Oryzias latipes: one gene and its partner. The protein of the gene in region 2 interacts with the protein of the main gene of each other region in a pairwise test. Links are inferred from orthologs where the notes say so. Each region holds a gene or a part of one and is shown on either strand. Other genes may lie near its edges.

Region 1 (3,500 bases), on a different chromosome or scaffold from region 2:
CAAGCTTTGATTTGGTCTAGAGATGACGCGACCTGTGACCCTGAAGCCCTTCAAGAGGAGCTGCCATTTTCAGGAGGAGAGAGCCTCCTGATGCTCGTCGCCTCCTCACGCTCCTCATTTTATTCCCTGAACTCCATCTGCCTGAACTTCTGAACCATCTCTTCAGGCTACTCGAACCTCAGCATGTTAAAGCTGTGTGTGTATGTGTGTTTGTGTGCCTCTGGAAACGCTTCTGAACTTCTGCTTCAAACAGAAACTAGAAATATTTTAAATCTCCTTTTTGACCCACTTTCAAATGAAATTCCCCCCCGTTTCTACAGAAAAACGAACGTCTAGAAGTGAATTTGACGTCTAAACTTTTATCTGAGATTTAGAAAAAGACAACCAAAAGAAAATACATGATAAAGACATCATTATTTTAATTTTATGATAAAAATAAAAAAGTGATTTTTTTTAAATACAAACTGCATGTTTACCAGTTTTAGATTTTCAAATTAAAAGCTGTGGACTTTAAAAGAAGGCAGGCTCCTGAAACAGAAGCCCATCCATCCATTTTTTGTACCACTTTGTCCCTTTCGGGGTCGCGGGGCTGCTGGAGTCTATCCCGGCTACTTGGGCGTAGGCAGGGGATGCCCTTGACAGGTCGCCAGTCTGTCGCAGGGTAGAAGGTCCACAATCACACACCCATGCACTCTCACACTCACACCTATGGACCATTTAGAGTTGCCAATTCACCTATGAAGCATGTTTTTGGACAGTGGGAGGAAGCCGGAGATCCCGGAGAAAACCCACGCATACACGGGGAGAACATGCAAACTCCACACAGAAAGGTCCCCCATTGATGTAGTGTTTTTCATGTCCCCCAGCCGGGACTTGAACCAGGGGCCTTCTTGCTGTGAGGCAAGAGCGCTAACCACTGCGCCACCGTGCAGCAGAAACAGAAGCGACACTGAATAATATCTAGAAATGACGGCAGTTTCTGTTTGATTTTGTGGTTTTCATCAAGTGTCTTTTGGCACACAGTCCTCCTCCTCCTCCTCTTCCTCCTCCTCCTCTTCCTCCTCCTCCACTTTCATGTTCTCATTAACACAGTATTTTCACTTCTGGTTTTTGGTATCTTTTTTTTACACAACCCCCTCATGCAAATAATGTTTTTGTAGATATTTATGTAAACAAATGGCTAAAAATATTGATAATATAATTTCACTGAATTTAACATACCTGCTAAAAAACGAATTATTCTTTATCTTTATAGAGAACATATATTTACAGAGTCACAAAAACTTTTATTGCTTTATATTTATTTTGTTTTTATTGCTGTTTTTCTCATCTCCTAGTTTGTTTTAGGCACACTTTTTTCATTATTTTTTATTATTTTTTTATTATTTTATCTCATTGTGGACGTGGAAACTGACGAAAGAAAATCTTTTCTAAGAAGCAAAAACAACTATTTATGATCTTGACTCAATTCTCTTTGTGCTTATAGTGGGCAATAAAGGTCTGCAGGCTGTGATTTGTGTACATTTAGTGCAGTTTTATTTAAAATAACGATAAAAACAAACCAAACAGAAGTCTTCTTAAATAGAACTTGAAATGAAAAGAGAGAAACTGAAAGGAAAAGGCTCTAAAATCTAAATCTTTGTCTTTCTTTAGAGTTTTGATATTTTATTTTGAAAATCATTTAGGTAACACACGCAGACGTGGAGTTAAAATTTTTCTTCACTTTATTCTGAAACTAAACTGTGTTGAAGGAAAGTTGAGTCAATCTATGATTGGAAAAGCTGCCTGGTTGCTATGGAAACGTCTTCCCTGCATCCATCTAAAACCTCTTAAATTGACCATTTATTGCGCACGCATCATTAGGAAAGCAGGTGGCGTGTACCTGTGCGGAGGCGGGGCTCCGGCTGTTGGAGCTGCCGTCCTTCAGGCAGATCTTCCTGGTCTTGGAGATGGACGTGGTTTTGTAAAACTCCACCAGCTTGTTCAGGGACATGAACTTCTCCGACCACAGGAAGTACTGGCCCTTGTTGTCCCTCATGACTTTGAAGTGCTGCACGTCGCTCTCATGCCTGAGCGGAGGCGGAGACGCGCATTAGCGTAGAGAAAGAAAAAAAAACCACCCTGGAGACTTGGGGGCGGGGCTAAAAATTCACCAGAAGAAGCAAGCAGACCTCAGATTTTTGTTTTGCTTTTTTAAAAGCATTTTCAGAAATACCTTTAAGCTTTTCCTGTTGGAGGAGAACTTCTCCACCTCTCTGAGATAATGTGGCTAACGTCTGCAGCGTGGACATGGATTCAAACCCTCGCCGTCCGTCCACACACTTCATGATCCACATTCGAGTGTGAAGGCTTTTACTCTGAAATTCTTTGTTTATCATTTTGATTTACTGACTTACTTTGAAAATCTGAAGGTAGAGACACGTCACGCTGACTTTTTTCTCATTTATTCTTTTGTTTTACGTCCATCTCTTCCATTTATAAACTACAAACTTAAAGAGCAGAAACTCCTGAGAATAAAGGGTGATTAAAAAAATGTTTTTGAGACCAAACCTTAAACCGACTAAACGTCTGACAGCAAATGAGCCAAACAGGAGAAGTGTTTGCATCAAAACAGATGTAAACAAACATTAAACCTCCTAATGGAGGTGTGAAGAGAGAAAAAAATCTTATTTTATGGACCCTACGCTCATTCAGTGACTCCTCAAAGGTCAGACGGGAAAATTCAACACTTTATTAACTATTTTAATCACATCGGTCACTGATAAACAACAAAAATCCCTTACTGTCTATAATTTTTTTAGTAAAAAACAAAGTTTGACAATAAATGAAGATATCGCTCAAAATAAAAATAAAAAAAACGGCTCAAAAGTTTTTTTGTTTTGATTCAAACGAAGAATCATAAATCCTCAATAAATTTCTACATTTTTTTTTTAGTTTGTGTGATTTTTAAAAGGAAACTGAGGAAATCCAGCCTAAAGAAAGAGGTTTGAATCATTCGTTAGTCGTGTTTGTCCTGAGACCTTCAGTTCTGCACTTTTTTCCGGCGGTGGGTCTCAGACTCACTCGACCGTCAGCTCGTTCCTGAACGCTCCTTCAGCCCAGCGGCGCCACCTACTTGACAGAGATGGAGAAGTCTCCTGGAGAAGTCTGGCAGCCTCGGATCACAAAGTCTCCCACGTCTCTGTGCCTCAGGATCTCCTCTGCGCCGCTGCGGCTGGTGTTCTCCTGAAACCACCTGAGCGGAGACGCCTGCAGATTATCTGATGCAAACGGCGGCGGCGGCTGCTGCTGCTGCTGCTGCTGCAGCTTCAACCGACACGTTCCAGCGCGAGAGCACAGGACGGTTCTTACGCTGGAAGCTGGATCTCCAGGTAGTTCTTCGGAACGTAGCCTTCCTGTCCGTTGAGCTCCGCCTTACACCACTCCTCTTCGAAGTTTATAATCTGCCACAAACACAGAAGAGAGCCGGTTCGGTACCGAGAAGCTGGGACGAGGGCCTC
Region 2 (4,117 bases):
CCAAGTTCTGGTTAAGCAGATGCAGACAGCCGATGTTGAAACAAATCTTGGAGTTTGGCTCAGGAATGGCCAAGAGAATCCGGAGAGCTTCCGAAAAATCCTGTTTGTCAGCACAGGTTACGCCGTCATCCCACTGTCGCAGAGTGTCCACAAAAGACATTTTGGCTGCCGCTGAGACACAGTGACTGAATTGAGGAAGTTTCTCTGATTTATGCCATGAAAAACAGGAAGTTGATGACAACGTTCAATGAATTTGCATCAACGCCATGTGCTCTTGAGTCCAAGTCAATATAGTAAGAATCGTGGTTTGATCTGTGAATCGTTGATCTGAAAAAATTATGGGTGTTTAAATATTTACTGTAGTATTTTAAGAGTAAATAATGAAGTAAAGTGCAATAGTAGTACTCCCCACCTCATCATTATCTTTGGTTAATTTTATGATTTACATGGATTTGTATTAGCAATACCGTATTTTTTTCATTTTTTTTCATTTACTCATCACAAAGTCTACCTTAAGTTAAGATTTTCCAAAACTTCACTGATTAAAAATGAATTAATAAAAATTGTGTGAACCCATATATTTAGCCAAAACAAAAGAACAGGTTATTTTATTACCTCAATGTTTTTTAAATTTATTCTTTTATTTTATGTGCCTTAAGAGATAAATGAAAACTTATGAGTAATTAAAACATTATTTTAACATTATTTAGCAAAGTTTGAGGCTTAAATCTGGCATTACAGTCTGCAAAACAAAATAGAATGAAAAAACAAACAAAAAAAAAAGGTTACATCTCAGGTTTTAATAGACTTTTTCTTTAAGTTATATAGATTAGTGTAAACATTAACAAAGTTATAAGAAAATAAATTATTTTAGAGTTTTGATTTTTTTTCTCTTGTCCTTAAAATTGTTGAATTGTTGGCCAACACTCTTTAAAATTTTTCTTATTTCCCCAACCTTTTAGCGAGACAAAAATATACTTTCTGGTACTTATCTTGAATTAATTAAATGCATTTTCTTTAGTATGTAGTAAATAGTAAATACTTCTTCCATTCCATTAAAATCCAATTTCTACATCTGTTGGAACAAACACTTTTATTTCAAAAGCTAAGATGTAAAATTAGATAAGATATAAAATAGCTAAGCCATAAAGTTAGAAAATGTATCGATTGGTTATTACGAAATGATACGAAACTTCACAATTTTTGGAATATATTTTATTTACTAAAATAGATTTTTAATTTGTAATCCAGACTATTTTATCAGAAGGAGTTCAATTGTTTGTGAGAAGTAAAAAATAAATAAAAATAAGCAAAAAAACAAACAAAAGAAAACGCAGTGAAATTATTGAAGTGGTTATAAAAAATTAAACCTAATGGAAAAGCCTAAAGAATGCACTTTATTTGGCCTTTTCCCTTCTTTTGTTAATGTTTTATCACCTGCTATGTACTTGTATAATTTTGTTATAATTTGAGTTGTTGTTCCGGGATTTAAATCTTGTTATTCATCAATTTTAATTGGAGGGGGAAAAGGGAAAGGCTTTTATTTAATAAAAATAAAATTGTAGAAAGTGACGTATTTCCGTTAGAATAGTTAGCTTGATACTGCCGTCGCTACTAAACAAACATGGCTTGGCTACTTTTTCTAACAACGAACCTTTTGGATACGTAGGGAAACTTAGAGGGAACTATGCAGCTACGACTTGGGAACGTCATGTGCATGACACAACTGCATAGATGAAGAGCAGCTATAATTGTGTAGCTAGTTTGCTCGGGAAAGCTTTTTTGTGACCGTGTTTTGCACCAGTTAGCTCAAAAAGTGGCTAACTAACTTAAGCTAGCAAAATGGACCTTGGAACGATGTTGTACAATAACTTAAAGGATGTAACGTGGAGCACGACGTCTCTGCCGCTAGACCAGCTGGTCAGTGCGTACAAGTTGCCACAAATTGTCATGCTGGATAACGGTTAGTAACTTACTTCAAGTTTTATAGCTACCATGCTAGCCAGTTAAGGCTTCTGCTTATCAGCTCTAGTCTAAGCTAATGAAAAACAAAGATTCGCTTTAGTGCAATAATGCTATAAACTGATTGATATAAAAGCAACCTTGATGGTAATGAATAAGAATTTAGGTCATGAAGTAAAAACGAAAAGGCTATTTTGCTAATCAAAGGAAAACGCTGAAGGTGTAAAAAAACAACAACATTGCCTTCACAACATCATGAGTCCCCTAGTATGTCTACACTTTATTTAACTAGAAAGTGTCTTTGACAAAAGTTAACATCTACTTAGTTAAATTTGTGTTTTTCATTTCATAATTTAAATGTATAAAACATGCAGAAATTGTGTGGGATTATGTCTAATGGATTTTAAATTACCTTTTAAAATGTCTCTTTTAGCAGGTGATGGTTATCCATAATGTAATGTTTTGAAGTAAAAAGGCTCGTGTCCAGTACTTGATTCATTTTTAAAAAACTTTATTTGTAAGTTGAACATACATTTTTATGTGTAATTTCTGACACATTTATTTATTCAAATCTTAATATTTTCCTTTTCAGGAAGCAACTCACTGGATAGACTATATTATTAAAAGCTTCATCCAGACCTGATTGTATCATAAACTCTTTGTGTACTTTGGTTGATTGTTAAACTTCCTTTCTGCAGCTCAGTTGGTTGAGGGCCTCAGAGAAAACGACTACCTCTTGATTCATTCCTGCCGTCAGTGGACAACTATAACTGCTCACAGTCTAGAGGAGGGACATTATGTGATTGGGCCTAAAATAGAGATCCCAGTTCATTATGAAGGTAAGGAGCCGCCATGAAGATGGTGCTTCCTTTGAAATGGCTCTTTCTTATCTAAATTATTCATCGTGTATGCTTTCAAAAGTTTTCTGAGTGATTATTTTGAGAAACTGATGAACCACCAACTGCTTACTTCTCATGTGATGGCAGAAGCGATGGAAAATATCAGCACTAATCATTCGTGTTCTGCTTAGGCCAGTTCAAGTTGCTGGAACAGGACAGAGATGTCAAGGAGCCCGTGCAATACTTCAACAGTGTGGAGGAGGTGGCCAAAGCCTTCCCCGAAAGAGTGTACGTCATGGAGGACATCACGTTTAATGTTAAGGTACACTTTCCCCTTCCAAAGTGATCATTTTGATGAATAGGACCGAGATGAGCATCCGAATACTCAGATATACGCCATCTTTTCCAGAAAACTGTACCAATATTTGTGACGTGGAAATATAGTGGAATATATATAAAAAATAAATTATCACTGTAAAATACAGAAAAATGTTGGATTTTAAGTTTAAAAACTAAACAAACTGAATGGACTTCTGTCACAGGAAGTAAACAAATTTTCAGAGTAAAGTGTCAGAGAAGGTTCTCGTTTTCAAAGTAAAGCTATCAAGTGTTTTCTCAGATACAAAAAATGGGAGTAAAATTTTGAAATAAATTCTGAAAAAAACATTTTATTTAAAAAGTAGTTGATAATTTAAAGAAAAATTAGAATGAATAGGACATTTTAAAATATTATTAAAATCTTCTGTTCAGTTATGTGACGTACCAGAACATGTCTGCAAAATATTCATCTAAAGTGTGGAGGTTTTTTGTGTTTTCCACTAAAGATGAAAACAGTGAGTTAATAAAATATGTTTGCTGGAAACTCTGCTGTTAGTTTAGATTAAAGAACAGTTCCTATTTATTACAGAGTCACTTTTATTGAGGTGTTGCTGTGTCTTCATTTATTGTTTTCTTATCATCCATCTACTGGAACTTTAGTCAGCCAAACTCTGAAGATGGAAAAACTGTGGAGAACACTTCCAGGACTGGATGTTAAACGATCCAAAGCAACAGTGACGATTATGTTTTGTACACTACTGAATTTGACCAGGAAGGTTACAGAAAAACTTACACAAGTGTGACATTATTTAAAGTGACAAATACCTTTTCTTTCTTTTAAAATATTTGAGCTTTTATTTATGTTTTGCTGATTCTTGTATCCTGTTCTGAACAAATGTGTAAATGATGTTTATAGATCCAACAAAAACACGTACATGAGGCGACCATTCATTCATAATATATTAAATGGAAAGAATTGTGGTTTGATCTGTGAATCG

The links.
Region 1: the proteins of garem1 (region 2) and growth factor receptor-bound protein 2 interact in binary tests that used the Homo sapiens proteins (3 or more experiments, as listed by UniProt). The link is inferred for Oryzias latipes from reciprocal best matches to the Homo sapiens genes GAREM1 and GRAP2.

Annotation. Positions count from the first base shown.
Region 1 is NC_019866.2:2,931,174-2,934,673, reverse strand, and holds part of growth factor receptor-bound protein 2, read right to left. Parts: intron 3,444-3,500; coding exon 3,352-3,443; intron 3,236-3,351; coding exon 3,116-3,235; intron 2,070-3,115; coding exon 1,883-2,069; intron 1-1,882. UniProt on the Homo sapiens protein: Interacts with SLP-76 to regulate NF-AT activation. Binds to tyrosine-phosphorylated shc.
Region 2 is NC_019878.2:10,713,101-10,717,217, forward strand, and holds the start of garem1 (GRB2-associated and regulator of MAPK protein 1), read left to right. Parts: upstream 1-1,317; 5' UTR 1,318-1,842; coding exon 1,843-1,963; intron 1,964-2,660; coding exon 2,661-2,801; intron 2,802-2,992; coding exon 2,993-3,123; intron 3,124-4,117. Other genes in the region: ncf2 (neutrophil cytosol factor 2), read right to left, coding at 1-160.